2 linked regions of the Macaca mulatta genome follow. The protein of the gene in region 1 interacts with the protein of each later gene in a biochemical or structural test. Links are inferred from orthologs where the notes say so. Each region holds a gene or a part of one and is shown in the gene's direction. Other genes may lie near its edges.

The links. The genes of interacting proteins can lie anywhere in the genome.
Region 2: the proteins of NCK2 (region 1) and LIMS1 form a complex in vitro, tested with the Homo sapiens proteins (4 studies listed by BioGRID and IntAct, with this or other methods). The link is inferred for Macaca mulatta from reciprocal best matches to the Homo sapiens genes NCK2 and LIMS1.

What each region holds. Positions count from the first base shown.
Region 1 is NC_133418.1:13,839,423-13,850,099, forward strand, and holds the start of NCK2 (cytoplasmic protein NCK2), read left to right. Parts: upstream 1-3,850; 5' UTR 3,851-4,077; intron 4,078-10,677. UniProt on the Homo sapiens protein: Adapter protein which associates with tyrosine-phosphorylated growth factor receptors or their cellular substrates. Maintains low levels of EIF2S1 phosphorylation by promoting its dephosphorylation by PP1.
Region 2 is NC_133418.1:19,218,885-19,229,385, forward strand, and holds the start of LIMS1 (LIM and senescent cell antigen-like-containing domain protein 1), read left to right. Parts: upstream 1-4,435; 5' UTR 4,436-4,675; coding exon 4,676-4,857; intron 4,858-9,835; coding exon 9,836-9,995; intron 9,996-10,501. UniProt on the Homo sapiens protein: Within the IPP (ILK-PINCH-PARVIN) complex, binds to F-actin, promoting F-actin bundling, a process required to generate force for actin cytoskeleton reorganization and subsequent dynamic cell adhesion events such as cell spreading and migration.

The sequences.
Region 1 (10,677 bases):
ACACCAGATATGCTTCATTGAATTGATGGTTAAGAGAGAAGGTCATGAGAAAGCAGACATGAGTGTTTACCATGTGCTGAACACACAGTTGAGACACGTTTACATTATCTCCTTTAATTCTCACAACGTTTTGCAAGAGCACTATTAATATCTGAGGCTCAGAGAGGTGAAATGATCCCAAGGCACGGGCTTGAAGGTAGGCTTTGAGCCTCTGATGTCTGACTTGGACAGCACCCTCAACCTCACTTTGTGTTTTCCATGAGTCCAAGGAGGGATTAGAGAAAGCCTTGAATGGAGATCTGAAAGAGAAGGAGGGGGACAGGGAATTCCTAACCGCCTTCACACCACAGAAGGCTGAAACTAGTGTGATTCAGTGTGGCACTGTGGGCAGAGCTGAGTGACTGAAGCAAACAGCTTACACTGGACAGAGGTAAAAAGGAGATTGTATGGCAGGACTAAGTTTGAGAGGCCTTTGGAAGAGAGGTCATAATGCGTAATGCTAATGTGATTTTAGACAAAAGTGTACTACACCTCCTTCCACTCTATGTTTTTTATGCTTTCAATACTTTGTGATTGAAGACAGTAAAACAGGTGTGGACACATTAATGGAATAGAATGCAGGAAAACCTGTATAGTTTTAGATAAAACATAAGCTTCAAAGAAATGTCTCCCCCATATTAAGCCTTCCAGTGGGTTGGATGTTGGCCCTAAAAGATATGTTCACCTGGAAGCTGAGAATGTGACTTTATTTGGAAAAAAGGTCTTTGCAGATGTTGTAAGATAAGGATGTCGAGATGACATCATGCTGGACTACAGTGAGCCCTAAATTCAATGGTCCTTGTCTTTACAAAAAGAGAGAAGGGAAAGGACACAGGGAACCAGGTTGTGTGAAGACAGAGAGGCAGAGGTGGGAGTGACGCTGCCACAAGCCAAGGAATGCCTGCAGCCGCCAGAAGCTGGAAGGGGCAGGGAAGGATTGTCCTCTACAGCCTTCGGAGAGAGGCTAGTGTCTTGATATCAGACTTCTGACCTCCAGAACTTTGAGAAAATAACCTCTGTCACCCAGTTTGCGGTCATTTGTTAAGGCAGCCCCAGGAAACTCACACAGGCCACTCAGGGCTAAATCCCCCAGCCTCCCCGGGGGAAAATGCTCAGTCTTCTGTCATCACATAACTTTTGAGGAGACCGTGGTGGGAAATGGGGAACCATGAGAAGTTCTTAAGCACAACCACCGGCAAATGGAAGCAATTTATAGGAAGGTTAGGATGACATTGACGTCCAGTGCAAATCTGAGGGATTTAATAAGTAAGTAATGGGAGACCAGTTGGAAGGCAGTTGTGGGGAAATGAACAAGAGTTTTGGAGTCACGTACTTGCAGTTCTGACCCCAGTTATTTGATCCACTGATCAAGTGATTTCATCTGTAAAATGGGGACAATACTATTGTGTGTGGATTAGAGATGATTTATGTCAAGAATTCAATCAAGATACTTTATAAGCATTGCTAGGAATGATGTATAAGTTATGATGCCAGTGATGGAAATGGAAAGAAAGGTGCAGTCAAAAAGATGTTTAAGAATCACCAGGACTCAGAACCATGGGGGTGGACTGAAAGGGGTCTTAGTGTCATTCAGCGCTCTCCTGGCTTTTCTTGGGGAGAACTTGGAGAGAGGGAAGGAAAAGCCAAGATGACAATGAGGTTTCTCCCGGGAGCTGAGGTGCCTGGTAGACTCTTGGCCAGGCCTGAAACCATGGGAGGAGGAGCTAGTCTGGGGAGGAGATGAGTTTCATTCTGAACATGGTGACCTAGAAGAGATGCTGGGCCATGTGTAGGGAGTGCAGATTAGCTGGGGAGCTCTCTAAGACTACGGGGTCTGGGAGTTAATCAATGAAGGTTTAGACAGGGAGTGTACAAAAAACAATCAACTCTCTCTTAAAAAAAAAAAAAGGTGCATATCAGAATAAAAACAAAGGACCACCATCTGCCTTGGGGATATTACTTTTAGAGGGTGGGAAGACAACAAACTCTCTAGAGGAGGCAGATGGGTAGGTCAGAAAGGTAAAAGAATCAGAACTGGCTGTGTTTGATGAATGAAAAGATGATGGTGTTTCTGGAAATAGCAGAAATGCCACATACTTCAGAAAACTGCATAGGATAAAGATTGATAAAGGGCCACTGGATGTAGATAGATAATGACATCGGTGACTTTCTAAAAAATCAGAGAAGGAAGAGGCACGCAACAACCACGATTCAGTGAAAGTTTACAAAGCAAACCAGCTAGAAACTGGGTCAACATTGTTATACTTATTTTGAGTAAATTAATTTAAAATTGGGCAGACTGATGACTAGTATTCTTCTTTCCTTATTGTAAAGCTAGATATTAGTAACACGAGGCTTGCACAAAAGGATGAACTGAAGTAGCTTCTTTCACAGGATCAAAACAAGGAAAAGGGAGGCTGTCCTGATTCCCTGAGCTTGTACCTGATCCCTGCTCAGTGTACTGTGCCTTCTTCCACTTACTGAGCTATTGAGGGCTACCTACTGCCAGAGTCCTTCACATAGGAGGTAGGTAAATATTATCTCCCCATTTGACAGATGTTAGAAAGGCTAAGACCACCTGTGCAAGGTTACACAGTTCAGGAAGTCAACAAACACTCACCTGTCTGACTTCAAAGCTACACTGACTCTAGTTACCTGTCCTTGGGTACTTCCTTTCTGGAAGGAAGCAGATGACTGAATCAAATAATACTGCCTTGTAACCTTGGATAAATTATTATTGTCTTAATAGTAAGCAGAGACCAGCAGCCTAAGAAAGAATCTCATTAACATGGATGCAGGCTATCCTGCCAGGAAATCAGAATCATTTGAATATTAGGATTTCCTTTGGGAAACCATATGGGGAGGAGAAAAGACATCCGGATGCATGTGTCTGTGAAAGGGAAACTTGCGTCTTTCCCCTTGCTTTTGGGTTTTAATCTTCCAAGTTTGTTTATAGGCTAGCCACAACTTGAGGCTGGGTGAGCTGAACAGTCCCATCATTAGCGACACTCCTTCTAGGGGCACATTCGGGCAGCTCCTCTTCGGATCCTGTCCCCATGGGTGTGCAACCAGGATTCCACTGGCTGGGGCTGGCCTGGATGCCTGGGAGGCAACAGAGGTCGAGTTTCTTCTCCCTTTAGGAAGTGCCTCAGACAGGGATGATGGACTAAAAACGTGTCTGGTTGGGAAAGTAAATAGATGCAAGACAAATAAATAAAAATGCCCACAAGCAATTACAAGGAGGAAGTGACATTTTTATTTAAGTCACTTTTCTGATGGACACCAGGCCTGCTTAGCTGAGTGCCGTGGGAATGCTTCCGGGAGGGGGGCGGCTGCCCAGCAACTACAGCTTCGCGATAAGGACATCAAACAAACAAACAAGAGGACGCAAAGCCCACCCGGCAGGCATCCCAGGCTGGAAGTTGCAGCCTATGTTTTCACTCTCCTCCCCACCCACCCAGCCTGCCCCCCACCGCCCGCGCGCAATTTCGGGCGTGGGGACCCTTTCCTGTCCCCGGCGCCGGGCCAGTGCTGCGCCTCCAGAGCGGAGCGTCCCGCAGCCCCGCGCTATACCCGCGCCCGTACCGAGACCCGGGCGCGGAGCCTGGCGGCGCCGGGGGGCGCCCCAGGTGGGTCTCGGGTCCCCGCCCCGCCCCGCGTGCCCGGGCCTGGGCCGGCCCCTGGGCGGCGTCACGGCGCTGCCGGGGAGGAGCGCGGGAGGAGGAGGAAGAGCGCGGAGGAGGCGGGCGCTGCGCGCCGGGGGAGGGTCGCCGCCGCCGCCGCCGCCGCCGCCGCCGCCGCGGGGATCGTCAGGCCGGAGCCGCGCGGCCGAGCGGACGGCGGGCGGAGGGGAGGGCTCGGCTGCGGGGAGGCTCGCGGCGCCCGGGCCGGCGGGGTCCGCCCGGGCCGGCAGCGTCCGCCCGGCGGCGGGAGGAGGGAGCGGCGCAGACAAAGAGCGGCGCCTGGGCGGGCGCAGCGCGGCCGCCGCCCCGGGACCCGCGCCGCTGCCCTCCGGCTCCGCGGGCGGCCCACAGCGAGGTAAGCACGGCCAGGCGGGCGCGGGGAGGGGGCCACAAACTTGGGGTCGTTGGGCGGAGTTGGGAGCGCGGCGGGGCTCGTGGGCCGGGGTGCGCCCGGGAAGGGGCTGCGAGAGCGGGTCGCCTCCGCGCCCCACCGGTACTCTCGGCCCCGCCGCGGCCTGGGCGCCCCCGACTGTGGGCTGCCGGGCATCTCCCGGCTCGGCACCTTCCTGCCCGCCTTCCCATCCCCAACCCCCACCATCGCGGCCCGGCGCAGAGGCGGGGACGCCAGCCAAGGGCGCGGGCGGGGATCAGGGCAGGGGGCCCGGCGGCGGGGCCCGGGGACTGGAGACCCCCGGGTGCGCAGGCTGCGCCTGGCCTGCGGGCGGGCGGCTGGCACGGAGCTCGGGGCTAGCGTGGGACCGTGCGGTGGCCAGGGTCGCCAGGGCGCGTGTGCCGGGGAAGAATAGCCGCGGATCGCAGGGCCCCGGCGCAGGGACCGGGGAGGCCGCGATCGGCCGGGAGAACTTAACTGTGTTTATTACAACTATTTATGATCGCGCACAAAGCTGCTGTCACATCGCATAAAGGAGGTCTTCGCTTCGGCGAAGGGAGCTTTTGTGCCCGGCTTCAGGCTCTGCGCCCTGCCCCAGATTTACAGGACTCTTACAGCCACCTGAACCAAAGTTTCTCACAACCGCTCGGCCCTCTCGGTGTTTTTCAGGGCGATTTAATCACCCAGTGGTTTTGGAAAAATTTGATGTGTGAGTTTTAAGGCATGGACGGTAACTCCCTTATGAGCACAGTTAGCTTGGCATTGTGGGGAGGGGTTTAATTTGCAAAACGCTGTAATTTGTAGACAATAAGGATCTCTGTGAAGGTCTGCGCTGGATGCTAGGGGTCATTGGCTGGTGGACCCCAGGCACCTGACTTAAACTAGTTTTGTAGCAGCTTCAGGGACAAAGCCGAGCGGGCGTGGAGTCGTGTAGTCGGCCTTGGTCACTTCTCACAATTCAGGTTGGCAGATTCCTCTTTATTTGGCTTTGTTTATTTTGCCAACAGGTTTAAGGCCGCTTCTGCCAAGTTTGCATATGCATAATGGGATGAGCAGGCCCCAGTGTGGGCAGGAGGGGGCCTAAAATATCGCATGGGCCAGCTCCATCCCTCGACCCAGAAAGAAACCACCCTGAGAGGCCGGTGGGCGTGGCTTGGTGGGACCCACAGGTAGGGGAGTCCCTTCCTGGCCCAGGCCCAGTCCCCGCTTCTCGGAAGGGATTTTGTGTAGTAATGAAAGTGATTCAGGGTGTTTTTCATGCCTCTGTTTTAGATGTAGTTATCAAGTCTCAAAAGTGACGGAAAATGAAATTAACCTGGGCTGCTTTACCTTACCGAAACGGAACTGTGCTTGTGAACACTCCCTCAATTCACTTTCCAAGCTTCATAGATAAGCAGGTGAATTAGTAACAGGATTCAAGCCTATGCGAGTTTTATGTAAAGAGAATGGCGGTCATCGGACACGTGGAGAAGAAATTGACTTCACCTGGAGATTGGGCTAGACATGGAAGTTTTTTGATGTTTGGAACAGGGATTTCCTGAGAAGCAAGTGTTAACCTTGCTTGTGAAGAAGTGAACACAAGGGAAAATCCTACCTCAGTATATTCTCCCCTGGAGGTTGGTTAGATGTAGTTTTGATTGGAGAAGGTGGCGGAATCTTAGTGGTCTTCTGGTGGCTACTTGAGGCTGAAATGGAGAACTTTAGGCATAGGAAGCTGTGGAGGTGCCTGGCCCACTTCCTGTCCGGGAGGCCTCTCCTGGATTCTGAGCTTCTTTCCTGCTTCATAAACATTCAGGGGGATTGATCATGAAACACTGGATGAAATTGGGTCACAAATTACCATCAGGAAGAGTTGGCTGCTGCATAAGCCCCTCTGTCCACTTGTGGAGAAACTGACCCTGTTAACCGTGGGGCTCGCTGAAGGTGCCTTGCAGGTGGCTGTGCTCAGTTTTCAGGCTTTGTGTTTTGCTTAGGACGCGCTGCATACTTAAATCTTCTTCATCCCTGCTCTCTTTGACCCTGACATATTCCCAGGCTCTGTCATTTACATTTTGGGTTATTTAGCTTTTCCAACAAACAGCAGATCTTATGTACACAGTACTATATTTGAGAAATGCACTATCATCCATTTTAAATACACCGGAAATCTTCCTTGCATGTGCACAGACTGGATAACCTTTTAAAATACCCTAAGACTCCGCGAATGGCGCAGAATGTACTGGAGTCCTTTACTTGATCAGTTGAGCTAGCTTAATTTGCCCTGGCTAGAGCAGGCTGTGCTGCTCTATGGGACACCCATTTTTCTAACTGCTCGGACTGGCTTGCCATGTGCACTGGGGGAGACAAGGCTTGTGGAATTCATTCTCTGACATTAAAAATGAGGCTTAATGACAAGAGCCCAAAATTGCTTCCCGGAACTGCAGGGGAGGATGATGAGCGATGTTTGGGAAAACTGTTTTCACAAGTGAACTGGAAACTCCCCACAACTGACTTCAGAGGCTTAGGAAATTAGTTTTCCCATCCAGAGGGATGGCAAGTGGCACTTCCAAATGGTTTCTCTTTCCTAAAATGTGTGATGGAAGTACTTCATGGCACGTTTTCAAAGGCCCTAAGCTAAAACGTGATTTCATGTGTGTTGTTCCATGCCTGAGTTAAGCCAACTCAGAAGAAGGTCATGATAGCCTTTTAATGGGTTATCAAAAGTATGCAGCTAAAGCAAAAATAGTTTTGCATTTCTTTAGGCCATTTAATAGCACAATTAAACAGTTAGACTCTATTCTTTTCCTGTATTTTCCTTTGAACATATCCCAAAGTATGTTTATTTCTAAAGGTAAATGAACGTTAACAAGTATTACCTCTGCCCAGTGACACACATCCACACACACATGCACTGGCACATACATTCCTACCTCCAGAATCTTATTTCTCAAAACTGTGGAAATGAAAGTTATTTTGATTGAGGTAGCAGTGTCACAGTGATGTCTCACTGTGTCACTGTCCCTGACCAGGCTGAGTCCTGAGTTCTTACTCATCCCAAGGGTCATCTCTTATTTCTTTTCTTCCCCACATCTTATCAACTCCAAACTAGAGGGGATGGCATCATCTTTAAACCTCCACAGCACATTCTTTGTGTCCCTGATTTGTCATGTGTGATATTCTTTCCTACAGGTTTTTTTTTTTTTTTTTTTTAAAGCAGGGTCTCACCCTGTCACCCAGGCTGGAGTGCAGTAGCACGATCACAGCTCATTGCATCCTTGATCTTCTGGATTCAGGCAATCTTCCCACCTCAGCCTCCGAGTAGCTGGGACTACAGGTGTGCACCACCATGCCCAGTGAATTTTTTTATTTTCATTTTTTTGTAGAGGCAGGGTATTGCTGCTTTGCCAAGGCTGGTCTCAAACTCCTGGGCTCAAGTGAGCCTCCTGCCTTGACCTCCAAAAGTACTGGGATTACACGCCTGAGCCACCATGCCCTGCCCTATGGTTTTTTTTTGCCTTCATCTTTTCTTTAATAAATTCTGAACCCCTTGGGGGCAGACTGGTCTTGTCACTTATACACAATGGGTGTGCAACAAATACTTATTGAATATGTGAATATTGAGTTCCCAGCCTGTCAGTATTGGAGCTCTAGCCTCCCACTGAGATTCGAGTGGTACGAGATCTCCAGCATTCTTGTAAATCTCAGAAACTTCTGTCTACTCTGGAAGGCTTTGACCTCAGGATGTTCAGACAATGGGAGAATTTAGTCTGCTGGCCTCTCTGTTTGGCAAATTTTCTGTCACATGAGTCATTTGTAGTCCTGAAGCTACATTTAAAAACAACAACGGCAACAACAGAAACAAAGCCAGACCCATACCCACCTGCGTTACCTGGTGGGCTGGCTGAATGGTTTACTTTTGTAGGTTAGTCTGTTCATATCAACCTGAATTCGAAACGCTGGGCAGAGCATTTGTGATCCTGGCCTGGTAAGTTGGTTATTTGTGTCACCCCTTCTTTCTACTATTGTATTTGTAGTGTTTTTAAGAAAAGAAGCTTCAAGTGCGCTCAGAATTTTAAGTATTGCAGTTGCTTCTTTTGAGACAGTTTTGTGAAGTGGGGTGCTCCTGTTGCCCAATTGTTAGTGAGGACCTAAAATGCCATGATGAGAGAATGGCATGTACTAATGCATGCACGCTCATTCATCGTTTGCAAAGTCCTTTTCACGTACACCATCATTTTAAGAGTCAGAATAACATGGCGCACTTGGTTCTGGCCCTTATTTCTAGGTGGGAGACTAGGGATGACGGAGCTTGAATTTAGGGTTAAGTCCTTCTGCAGGCCGTACATGAGGAGCACCCACGGGTTGCTGGGTAGAGTTGTTTTATCCTGAGACAGTTTATGAAACACAGCGGCCTTGGGTGTCTGCCTTTGCCGTGTCGCAGCTGTGTGTATATTGGCTGAGAAGATTCTGGGTGTGAGTTGACTGAGGTTGAGTGGTGTGAGGGGAGGCCGGTAGTGGTGTGAGAGGAGGCCGGCAGGAGCAATGTCAGTCTCTCTTGTCCTCGCCTCCTGGTTATGGGCCAGGATTACCCTGGAAAGCCTCCTCAAGTTGAGAGAGCTTATTCCTGTTTAGGGCATGTATTAGTCAGCTCCAGCTGCCTTAAGAGAATAAAACACAGAGGCCAGGCGCAGTGGCTCAACGACTGTAATCCCAGCTACTTGGGAGGCTGAGTCATGCGAATTGCTTGAACCCAGGAGGCGGAGGTTGCAGTGAGCGGAGATCGCGCCACTGTACTCCAGCCTGGGTGACAGCGTGAGACCCTATCTCAAAAACAAACCAACACACACACACACAAAGACACACCAAACGGAATGGGTGGCTGAAGCTGCAGACATTTATTTTCTCAGCGTTCTGGAGGCTGGAAGTCCATGGCCCTGGGGCCGGCAGGGCTGATTTCTGTTGAGAATCTCTTCCTGGCTCGTCTTCTTGTGTCCTCGCTCACGTAGCCTGCCTTCTGTGAACGCACTGAGAGAGAGGTCTGGTGTCTCTTCCTCTTATAAGGACATCTGTCCTATTGGATCAGGGCCCCACTCTTAAGACCTTTTTTAACCTTAATTGCCTCCTGAAGTGTCCTGTCTCCAAATATAGTCACTTAGGGGTTAGGGCTTCACCATATGAATTTAGGGGGGACAGTTTAGCCCCTGCCAGTGTGTCTGTCTAGGTTCTACAACAGGGCTGACGCTTTCAGGAAGATCTGGTGCTCCCATCATCCCGATCTCAGATCTGTGTTTATTTGGGGACACCTACCAGGGCTGGTTAGTCACAAGTATGGAGGGAATGTCAGCTCTTTACATGTTGGTTGTAGCACCCCATAACAGGGAACAAGCCTTGGTGCTGGCCTTCCAAAGGCTGGAAAGGTTTTAAGTAGAGTGATTGAAGAGAGAGAAAAACCTTGACTCGATTTCATTTATGGAAGCTTCTCTTCAACTTAGGTAGGTAGACATTTATTTGGGGGTTGGTTTGTCTTTGATTGAGACCATGATAAAATATCAGTGATATGCAAACGAAAGTCTTTTCTGAACCCTGGATGAAGAGAGCAAAGCAAAAGGAAGGGCCAGTGGCAGCCAGGGTGGAGAGGCCGTCCCCTCTGAGCCTGCCGTCTCTGTGATCGTGCAGTCTTTGCCACATGAGCAAATATCCCTTAGCAGAATGTGCATGACGGTGGTGAGGTGCACCCCGAGCATGGCTGGAATGTTTCTGACCTAGGCCAGTTTGCCTTGTTCAGACATAAGGCAGGAGCAATGCCTGCATGACTGACCTCCCTCTAGCTCCAGATCTGTATGTTCATTCATGCTTTGTTTGCTCATTCATTCACATTTATTAATGCCTAAGAATTATCCAAGTTCTTACTGGTCATTTCCACCATCCCAAACCATTTGCAGCATCTCCTGCAACCTGCCTGCCTACTCAGTTATATTCCCCATCACCGACTCACTCGGTTATCCTTGAATTCTCCCTCAGCCCCCAACTAGTCATCCACCCCTATTGATTCTACCTCCCAAAGATCTAACATCTCAACCCTGCTGTCCTTTTTCTCCTTCCCTTAGATATCAAAACCGCTTTTTAACCATTCCTGCCAATCCATCCCAGGGTTACTGCACCCTGACAGTCAGGTCTGGGCACGACCGGCACACGGTGGCTCTCCACCATCCTTAGGTCAGTGACTCAAGTCCCCAGCGTGGCAGTCATGGGCCTGCACGACTAGGCTCCCTCTCTGTTTCTCCCAGCATCTAAATATTCCCTTCTCCATATACACACATGCTGAGCTGCAAGTCATCTGTGGCCACCCACTGACAGTTTGCTAATTGTGATAACAAAACTAAGTTTATCATCAGTTTCTTTTTAAAGACTCTCTCCATTGGGACTGGTTCAGGGTTCTCCTGTGCAGTAATGGCGGGGCTACCCCACTAGAGCTTTGCATGGAATTGAGCGTGGGCCCGGCTCGCTGTCATGGGAGGAGGGGAGACTAAGTGCAGAAAATGGTGTGTATGTGTGTTTTAATGTGGACTCTCTCCCTGCAAATGC
Region 2 (10,501 bases), about 5.4 Mb from region 1:
TTGTGTACTGCCTATACTTTCTCTCTCTTTTTTTCTTTTTTTCCTTTTGAGACGGAGTTTTGCTCTCATGGCCCAGGTCTGAGTGCAGTGGTACGATCTTGGCTCACTGCAGCCTTTGCCTCCTGGGTTCAAGCGATTCTCCTGCCTCAGCCTCCTGAGTAGCTGGGATTATAGGTGCCCACCACCACGCCCAGCTAATTTTTTGTATTTTTAGTAGAGATGGGGTTTCATCATGTTGGCCAGGCTCCTGGCCAAGTCTCAAACTCCTGACCTCAGGTGATCCACCCGCCTCGGCCTCCCAAAGTGCAGGGATTACAGGCGTGAGGCACCGCACCCGACCACCACCTCAACTTTCCATGGCCACACTGTTACAGATCCTTATTCAGAGTAGTAGGGACATAAAAACAACCTTGTTCACTCAGCACTGGGCACCAGACTATACACTGTATACTCATAGAAGCAGAGGCTATGACTTTTATTTATTTATTCATTCATTCATTCAGCAGATTGTAGTATCTTCTACTGATGGTGGGCTGGATACTTCTTAGGTACCACACTGGGCCTATTGCATCATGGGCACATAGTAAAAGTTCCATATGTCCAGGAATGATGTAAAGCCAACAGTGGAATAATGCGAGCAACTGTTTTTCGAGAAGAAATAGACTTTACCAGAATGCCAAAATGGGCTGCTAAAGGAAGGGCAGCCCATCAGTGCTGTCACCAGCTCCTGAAACCCCAGGGCTTGTTTACTCCTACCATTGCAGTGGAGGACGTGTCTGAACCTCCTGCTTGGCTTTACCTGCCACATTAGCTCCTTCGTTGTTTCAGTGTAAGTAGCTTGGGTAATGTGCAGAGAATTTCTTTGCCTTGTGTTATTTATGCTGAGAATCAGCTGGTTGGGTGGTCAGTTCCTAGGGAGAAGCTAATGGGAAGGTGATCTATACAATGTGATAGAAGACAATCAAGCTTTCTTGCTGCATCTTTTCTTCCTTCAGAACTTCAGCCTCTCTTCTCCCGCCCGACTCCCATTAGGATACTCCGAAGTGAAAAAAAGGCCAAGAGGAGAGAATGAGATCGAGCAAAATTGTAAACAAAGGAACAGAGCCACAAACCTATTTTACATTCACATAAAATGTTACATTGATTGATAACAGTTTAAAAATATCTTCATAGTATATGGTACCTTTGATCATAAAACCAGGTCATATTAAGGTGACCTCTATTGAAGAGTTCTGTTTAGGGTCACTGTGTGCCAACCACCCTCATTAAAATAGTCACAGATGTAGGTAGAGGAAACCAGATAAAAGGAAGATCTCTATCTGCTTCCCCCTAGCAATCCTTACCTAGCATAACTTAAGAACAGCCAGATGGAAGAGATACATGGGGCAAGGTGTAGGGAAGCAGCAGAGCTTCTCTCCTCTGGGAGCGCCACCCTCCCAGCACCTCCATATGTTCAGCAACCCAGAAGTTCCCCAAACTCTATCCTATTGAGTTTTTATGGAGGCTTCATTTCATAGGCATGATTGATTTGATCATTGACAACTGGTGATTATCAAAATCCCCAGCTCCTCTCGTTTCCAAGGGGTTGGGGCTGGAGCCGGCAGTTTCAGCCTTCTTATTGCATGATGGGTTCTCCAGCAACCAGCCCCACACCTGTCACATTAGCCTGCAAAAGACACGTACCACTTCAGAGAGTCAAGAGTTTTCGGAGCCCTGTGCCAGGAAATGGGGGGGCAGAGACCAATAATAGATTTATTATTAAAAGTCACAATATCACAGGCAGTTTCTTTAAAACTAAACATTCACTTACCGTACAACTCAGCAGTTTTACTATTGGGCATTTATCCCAGAGAAATAAAAATATATGCAATACAGAAATGTCTATAGTTTTATTCACAGTGCCACAAATTGGAAGGAAAGTACTTAAATGTCCTTCAGCGGGTGAACGGTGAAACAAATTACGCATCCATGTCATGGAATATTACTTGGCAGTAAACAAGAGCAAACTGTGGGCATGTGGAGCAACTTGGTCTCAGGGCATTGTGCTGAATGAAAAGCCTTAAGATGTCACGTGAACGATTCCATTTAGGTAACATTCTTTAAATAGCAGAATCATAGAAATGAAAAACAAAGGAGTGGTTGCCAGAGGTTAGGAGTGTTGCAGTGTGCGGAGGTATGTGATGGTCAGAGATAACATGAAAGAGAACTCTGTGGTGATGGAATAGTCCTGTAAGTTGATAGAGGCTGTTGTTACAGGAAGCCACCCGTGTGATGAAATGACAGAGACCTGCACACACACGTTGCAGCAATGTCAGATTCCTGGTTTTACTCCTGTACTGTAGTCACGTAACATGATAACTGGGGAGACTGTGAGGGAGAATTCTAAGCAGAAGGCTCACGTGGCTTCCTGCCTCCTACCATGCCACCTCCACCGGATGCATTAAACTTACAGTCTGAGTCAGCCTGCCTCTGTCCTCATCCCTCTGTCTGTCTGTCTCTTTCCCTCCCTCCCTCCCTGCCTCCTCACTGTTTCACATGGTCATTATAAAAGAGAAACCTAAAAAATTAGGAAATGTAGATAAATTGAAAGGAAAAATTTTAAACCATGAGGTTGTTTCTTTCTTATTTAAATATGGTGATTCCCTTGGGCCTGGGCAGGATCTGTAGCCCGCAGCCTTTGAGTTCTGGACCCATTCTGTGAGATTTTTAGGGTTCAAAGTAGAAAGATTTGGTCCCACTTTCTGCTTCCAGTCCTGTCTGGTACCCGCTGCCTAATCTTTTCTGGCTAATTGTGCTTCCCAGTAATTATGTTTACCATTTTCTGACATAGGGATTAACAGCATAGGCTCTGGACTCAGAGTGCCTAGGTTTAAGTCTTGACTCCACTACCTCCTTAGTAGTTCTTCAGTCTCTTTGTGCCTCAGTTTCTTCATTTGTAACTACCACCTATCTCAGAAGCCATGGGAAGGATTAAGGGCCGTGGTAGGAAGCACTCACTGACTCTTGGATGTCATTATTTATGGTCATTACTTGGTGTCTCTACTGCATTTTGTTTATCCGCTGCCGGTTCCGTGACTGCCCATCAGTGTGCCTTGTGCCTGTTCTGTAGATTTTATTTCACAGTCTCTTGGTTTTGGTGGGTGGCACACTGCCCTGAGAGGACGGGGACGTGAGAAGGATTCTGAGCCCTTTAGTTGTCTCTAGTGCTACATCATGATTGTCATCATTGCTGTAAACCAAAAAGTATCTGAGACAAGTCTTAGTCGATTTAGAATGTGTGGTTTGCTAAAGTTAATGACACACCCATGACACAGCCTCAGGAGGTCCCGACAACATGTGCCCCAGGGTGGTCGAGGTACAGCTTGCTTTTATACACTTTAGGGAGACATGAGACATCAAGCAATGTATGTAAGATGTACATACATATATGTTCGGTTCAGTAAGGCGGAGCAATTCGAAGTGGGTGGGGGGTTTCCAAGTCAAGTAGGTAAGAGACAAAAAGTTGCATTCTTTTGAGTTCTTTATCAGCCTTCTAATGAATACACAATTGTGTGTGACTCAGTGAACCTACATTTTTACATGAACAATAGGGTAGAGGAAGCAATCAGATACGCATTTGTCTCAGGTGAGCTTCAGAGGGATGACTTTGAGTTGTGTCTGTCCTTTGTCCATAAGGAATTTTCTTGTGGGCAAATGGTGAGGAAGGGATGTGGGTTGTTATCTTTGTAGCTATCTTATTTAGCAATAAAATGGGAGGCAGGTTTGCCTGACGTAGTTTCCAGCTTGACTTTTCTCTTGGCTTAGTGATTTAGTTTCCTTTTGCATTGCTAACTCAATCACAGGAGACAGGAGTGTGGACTGATTATAGCAAGAATGCCAGAGTATGTAACAGCTTCCTTAGTCATGGTAGAGATTGAGAAACGTCAGCTCACCTAAGCTTTGAGGTTAGCTGGAGTCCAGTAGAAGAGTTATAACTAAGCACCGGCCCTTGTCTGTTTCCACTGGTGCCCATTCATTGAAGCTGAGATTGGACTGTGACTATGTACCAGTAGCAAAGGTGATAGAAGTCAAACATTGCTGTTAGTTTTAGGGGCTCACGGCCTGCTGGGGAAGGGACCCATCGGGCATAGCTGGCAGTCATGGCCAGGGTTGTGGAAACCCAGGGCCAGGCAGGGTTCAAATGCTCCTCAGAGTGTGCCAGCAGCCTCAGCCTCAGGGAGAGCTTGTCAGGGGGTGTTTTACAAGGTCTCCAAAAGCCTCTTATGCCCTTCAGAGTGAAAAGCACGGCATTGGTGATGAAGTCTTGTGGCAAATATGCAAGGCACATGTGGATATTTCCTTCTCTTGGAGGCTTAGGAGGTAGCCCCTGTCTCCTAGTGCAGTGTTTATAGCATAGTCCACTGGGACTGCTGCTCTGACAGACTGTGTCACTATTTTGTGGAATGTTTTTTGGAACTTCCAGAAAGCCTCAGTAAATCCTGACTGCCATGTAACTGTCCTGTGCTGCTGAGCTCTTAACATGAAGCAGCAGCAGTGACCCTGGCGGGTCGGGCTGACGTGCGTGGGAACGGTGGGAGTGACCCTGGCTGGGAAGCAGGGAGGCCTGGATATTGTTTCTCCTGGCTCTGTGTCCTGCGGCTCTCGTCCCTGTGCTCAGAGCTCGCAAGCACCCACGATGGCCTTCTCAGGCCGAGCGCGCCCCTGCGTTATCCCAGAGAACGAAGAAATCCCACCAGCGGCCCTTAACAGTGTCCCTGAGGCCAATGGGACCGAGGACGAGAGGGCTGTCTCCAAACTGCAGCGCAGGCACAGTGACGTGAAAGTCTACAAGGAGTTCTGTGACTTTTATGCAAAATTGTGAGTGTCTCCTCTCCTGGAGTGCCCTCTTCCAGGTCGGGCGTTCTTGGCTGGCTGTTCAGGAGCCATCCTGAGCTGGCCCATACAATTTTATTGACTGGACTTTGAGTGGGAGTTTTCCAGGGTGGTAGGGCTCTGAGGGGCTCGCAGTACAGCACGTTTAGGGAGACAGGAGGCTCCTTGTCGGTAAGACATGCAGCGACACGCAGATGGGAGGGAGGTGCTGCCCTCACTGAGAGCACCGCGGCCCCGTCTTCAGTAGATTCCTGATCACTTGGTAGCTGCATTTTCATCATGTCGTCCGCAGGGGAGGCTTATCGTTGTCGCTGTCAGGAATTACATTAGAAAAATTCTGCACTCTAAAACAGCCCAAAGATAAGGGGCAGATGGGTTGGAACAGTGAAAAAAACAAATTACAGACTGTTTAAAGATAAATATTTTTGTTATGTGTAACAACAGTTTGAAGTAAGCTAACTGGGTTTCTTAATTGAATGAATAAATACATACATTGTATAAGTAGCAAATCAATACACATATAGAACATACTGTTAACTCGAAAAAGCTAGGCTAATTTATATTATTAAATGGGTTTTAGTAAACACATTTTTTGAGAAAATGCAGAGTAGCCATCAGACCAGCTCAAGATTATTGACCTCATTCAAAGTTGTGAGCTTAGAATTACTGCATATCCCCAATTTGTCAAGTAAGAGTTAATGAGAATTTAACTGACCCGGTTCTCTACTTCCATAATCCGTTCTCTGTGGTACAGATGTCACTTATCTTCACAACTCACCGAGAGCTCTTGGTCAGTTGGACAGTAACTGGGGAATTGTAATAATACAGTCACCAATTTTTTCACTGCTTGAACTCTCAAGATGATTTTTGGATTTATACATTGCTGCATTTTAGGACCAAACAATTTGTTTTGCACACTTGAATAATGGAAAGCAAGATATCAAGTGTGCTGTGTGAGGTTGATTTGTGGAAGTAGATCAGCTTCATCAGTCATGCCTGGCCTGATTTTTACATATAAATATCTATAGATAGGTAGATACTTCCCCACTTATGTATTTCTTGTCATCAACAGTTTTTAGTGAAAATCTTTTTTTTAAAAATTAGCTAATTAATTATAACTAATCCGATAGCTATAACTGTCACTAATGACTTTTTTAAAGTAATTTCTGTCATCTGTATTAAATATAAAATCAACATTTAAAAAAAATAAAAAATAAAAAACAGGCATTGTGCCAGAGGGTCAAAGGCAAAAGAGGAAAGGGAAGCCTGACTGGTTCAGGGGGCAGCAAGGGGATTGTTCTGTTTCCTTTTTTCCTCTGCTTGTTATAAAAAGGAATACTTCTTGCAAAATACATATTATGTTACTTCTAAAACTAGCGCATTTTTCCCGTGTGTGGGAAGTAACTATGTGCTTGTTTTTATGATGTAGCTACCTATTTCCTAATTCTACTTGAGTATTTGAACTTAAGTAGAAACAATCTATATTATAATGAGTTTAAACTGGTCAGTGATAATCAAACATTTTCATCTAAGGGCCTCTTAACACTTAAAAACTATTAAGGTCTTCAAAGAACTTTCATTTATCAGTATTTACTGTATGAGAAATTTAAACTGGGAACAATTTAAAATACTTATTATTTCATTTAAAAAAAAACAATAAGCTTATTACATGTTAATAGCAAATGTTAATATTAATGTTTTCATGAAAAATAACTGTTTTCCAAAATGGAAGAGGTTTAGAGGAAAGGATGGCATTATGTTACATTTTTGTGAATCTTGTTAATATCTGTCTTTTTTTTTTTTTTTTTTTTTTTTTTTTCCTTTGAGACGGAGTCTGGCTCTGTCGCCCGGGCTGGAGTGCAGTGGCCTGATCTCAGCTCACTGCAAGCTCCGCCCCCCGGGTTTACGCCATTCTCCTGCCTCAGCCTCCCGAGTAGCTGGGACTACAGGCGCCCGCCGCCTCACCCGGCTAGTTTTTTGTATTTTTTTAGTAGAGACGGGGTTTCACCGTGTTCGCCAGGATGGTCTCGATCTCCTGACCTCGTGATCCGCCCGTCTCAGCCTCCCAAAGTGCTGGGATTACAGGCTTGAGCCACCGCGCCCGGCCGTTAATATCTGTCTTAATAAAAGTTTCTCATATTTGTTTCTGCATTCAACCTATTACGGTATATTGTTTTAGATGAAATATATGAAGAAAATGTGGCCTCCCACAGAGATGTAGTTGGAAAACAGAGGAGCTTTCCACCTCCTGAAAGAGTCATGGTGACCCCGACATTTTGGAAACCACTGATTTAGGTGATAATGAGCCAGGACATTCTAGAATATTCTTTTTGGGCTCTTTTAGAGTCCCATTAAGATTGTTGAGGTTTGGTGAATCTTTTGAGAGGGTTTAGAATTAACCACAGTGCCATATATTTGAGCAGCATCTTCTGGTTTCCAAATGGTTTTAAATACTTTTTCCTTGGAACAATAATGAGAACAGTACTGAGAATGACCAGGCAGGTGTGGAGCTTACCATGTTCCTCCATCCAGGAACACCTGTGGACTTTGGTCAGGAAGAAGGAAGAAGCACAGACCTCTCCAGAGTTTTGTGAAACTGCCACAGTCATCTGGCTTGTGGCAAAGCTGGGCGATGATGAGAATTGTACAGATTTTTTCCCCAGCCCACAGGAACTTTGAAATGACAAAATGGAAATTCATTTTAACATGAGGCTTAGGCCAGGTTTACTGAGCAGTGAAGCTGCTTCCCTTTCTCCCTTCCTTCCTTTTTTTTGTGACATTTAATTCTGCATTCAAACCTGTTAGATAAAGTTGATCTTTGACTGGTCTGAAGTGATGAACATGGTGTGTCTACACGCAGTTATTTATGGCAAGGCTACAAAACGGGCTGACTGTTTTGTGAAACATTTGTGGGAGGAAGGCAGAGGGAAAGTTGTCTTCCAGAGGTGTGGAGGGGAGTGAAGCAAGTAAGTGGGACCACTTTTGCTAAGGAAACAGCAAAACTTGGAAACCAATAGGGGCAAGGCAGTTAGTTACTCTGTCTATAGAATGGAGACTGTCCACCTGTCTGTCTCACTAGTTGGTTGTGAAAATTCAGGAGAAAGTTGGTAATAACTTCATGAAGTACATTGATTAAATATTTGGAAGGTCAGAAGCTGTACCAGCGGACTAGACACACAGGTGTAGAGCTCATGCTGTGAGTAGTTCTGTGAAAATAAACTGGCCAAAAATTGAAGGACCACTTGACCAGTTCCTGCCCTGCATGGGGGACCTTCTCCCTACAAATAGGTCTTCATGTGAAATCCTGATCTAATTGTATGCCTGTCGAAGCCGTGTTGCTTTTCTTTTCTTTTTTTTTTTTCCTTTTTGAAATGGAGTTTTGTTCTTGTTGCCCAGGCTGGAGTGCAGTGGTGAAATCTCGGCTCACTGCAACCTCTGCCTCCCAGGTTCAAGTGATTCTCTTGCCTCAGCCTCCCAAGCAGCTGGGACTACAGGCATGCACCACCACACCTGGCTAATTTTGTATTTTTATTAGAGACGAGGTTTTACCATGTTGGTCACACTGGTCTCGAACTCTTGACCTCAAGTAATCCATCGGCCTCAGCCTCCCAAAGTCCTGGGATTACAGGTGTGAGCCACCTCACCCAGCTGCCATGTTGCTTTTCTTCTTGCAAACTGCACAATGGTTAGAGCCTGAGATTATTTATTGAATGCCTTCTGTGTTTTAAGGTGTAGTGGGGTTACTGATGGGGGGATTTCCCACACCACCAGCCACAACAGTGGTTACTTGACAGCCTGGTATCACTTTCCTAACCATGAAACGTGATGGTATCCCTGTCATGTCCTTTCAAGTGTTTGAAATTCGTGGTGTAATCTGTTTTGATTGAGAGTGTGATTTTATGAGCAGGGAACCTGGATTTCTAGTCCCGTGCCTTCCTTTAACTAATTAGCCTTGTGATGTTGGTCTGATCCTTCCATCTCTGTGAACCTCTTTTGCCATCTGTAAAATGATCTTTATTATGTAAAATTTTGTGGTTTTAAGATACACTTTATAATACTGGTAATCAGGTTCGTCTTACCGATTAGGGAACAGGACCGGGGCATCTTGGCTGGTTTTAAGGTTACTTAAGCAGTTGCTTTCCACAGAATTTAATCAAAGGGGTAACCTGTGTCTAGGTTATATGGTATGGCATTTAGTTGACAAGCATTTTAGATTCTATTCTTAGAAGGGAAAGAAATTGGCCTTGAGATGCTGACTTTTGGATTTTTTTTTTTTTTTTTTTTTTTTTTTTTTTTTTTTGAGAGGGAGTCTGTCTCTGTCGCCCAGGCTGGAGTGCAGTGGCCGGATCTCAGCTCACTGCAAGCTCCGCCTCCCGGGTTCACGCCATTCTCCTGCCTCAGCCTCCCGAGTAGCTGGGACTACAGGCGCCCGCCACCTCGCCCGGCTAGTTTTTTTTTGTATTTTTTAGTAGAGATGGGGTTTCACCGTGTTAGCCAGGATGGTCTTGATCTCCTGACCTCGTGATCCGCCCGTCTCGGCCTCCCAAAGTGCTGGGATTACAGGCTTGAGCCACCGCGCCCGGCCGACTTTTGGATATTTTAATTAAGCTTCTTATAAAGCTGTAAACCAAGTTCCTTGAGAGCAGCTTATAACTTTCATCTCTGTCTCAGGTGCCTAACACATAGTAGGTACGCACTCATAATATATTTAGCAAGAAAAATGCCAAAAATGTTAGAGACAGAATCAAAGTGGGACACCCTTACAGAGCCTCAGATGCTAGGGTAGAGGCTGAGGAGTCCAAGTTCAGAGCACGTAAGGAACAAGCGAAAAACTAAACTTTTTAGATAAAATAGGGTTTTTGTGATCAGATAGAATTCGCTGCTCACGGTTCTTGGTGTGGTTTGGTCTTCAATCTAAGAAGAGGCTGACGGTCTGCAACCTGCTGTTCTTTGTGTGTTACAGCAACATGGCCAATGCCCTGGCCAGCGCCACTTGTGAGCGCTGCAAGGGCGGCTTTGCACCCGCTGAGAAGATCGTAAACAGTAACGGGGAGCTGTACCATGAACAGTGTTTCGTGTGCGCTCAGTGCTTCCAGCAGTTCCCAGAAGGACTCTTCTATGAGGTGAGTTGTGCTAGACAAAAGCAGGGAGGTGCCATTCCCCGCCCTCCCGCTTCCTGCCCTTCTTTTCTGAGGCCTCCTCCTTCATGTTCAGTTTCATGAGGAAAGACTGAATTGAAGTGTCAGATGCATGCCAGGTATTTGATAGCTATGAGGTCAGAGGTGGAATCTGTATGGCCCATATGGACAGTGGCATGGATGGGACACCCTCACAAACCCTGCATTCATATTGCTCAGTTCGTTGTCCTATTTCAGAACCCAGAGTCCCTTATGACAGAGCCTTTCAGACCTAAGCAGCTCAGCTCCACATACAAAATTCTTTCCGAGTCTTCACCCACACTCAGGCCCCCAACACACCTCACCCATTCCTGTCTCTGTGTCTGTCCCCCTTCTCAGAGGACCACTGGACCCGCTCTAAAGGACAGTGTGTGCTGTACGTCACCCCCTCCACAACTTCCCAGCCTCGAGCCAGGAGCGTCCATGCATTTATTTTCTAAGGAAAAAATAAG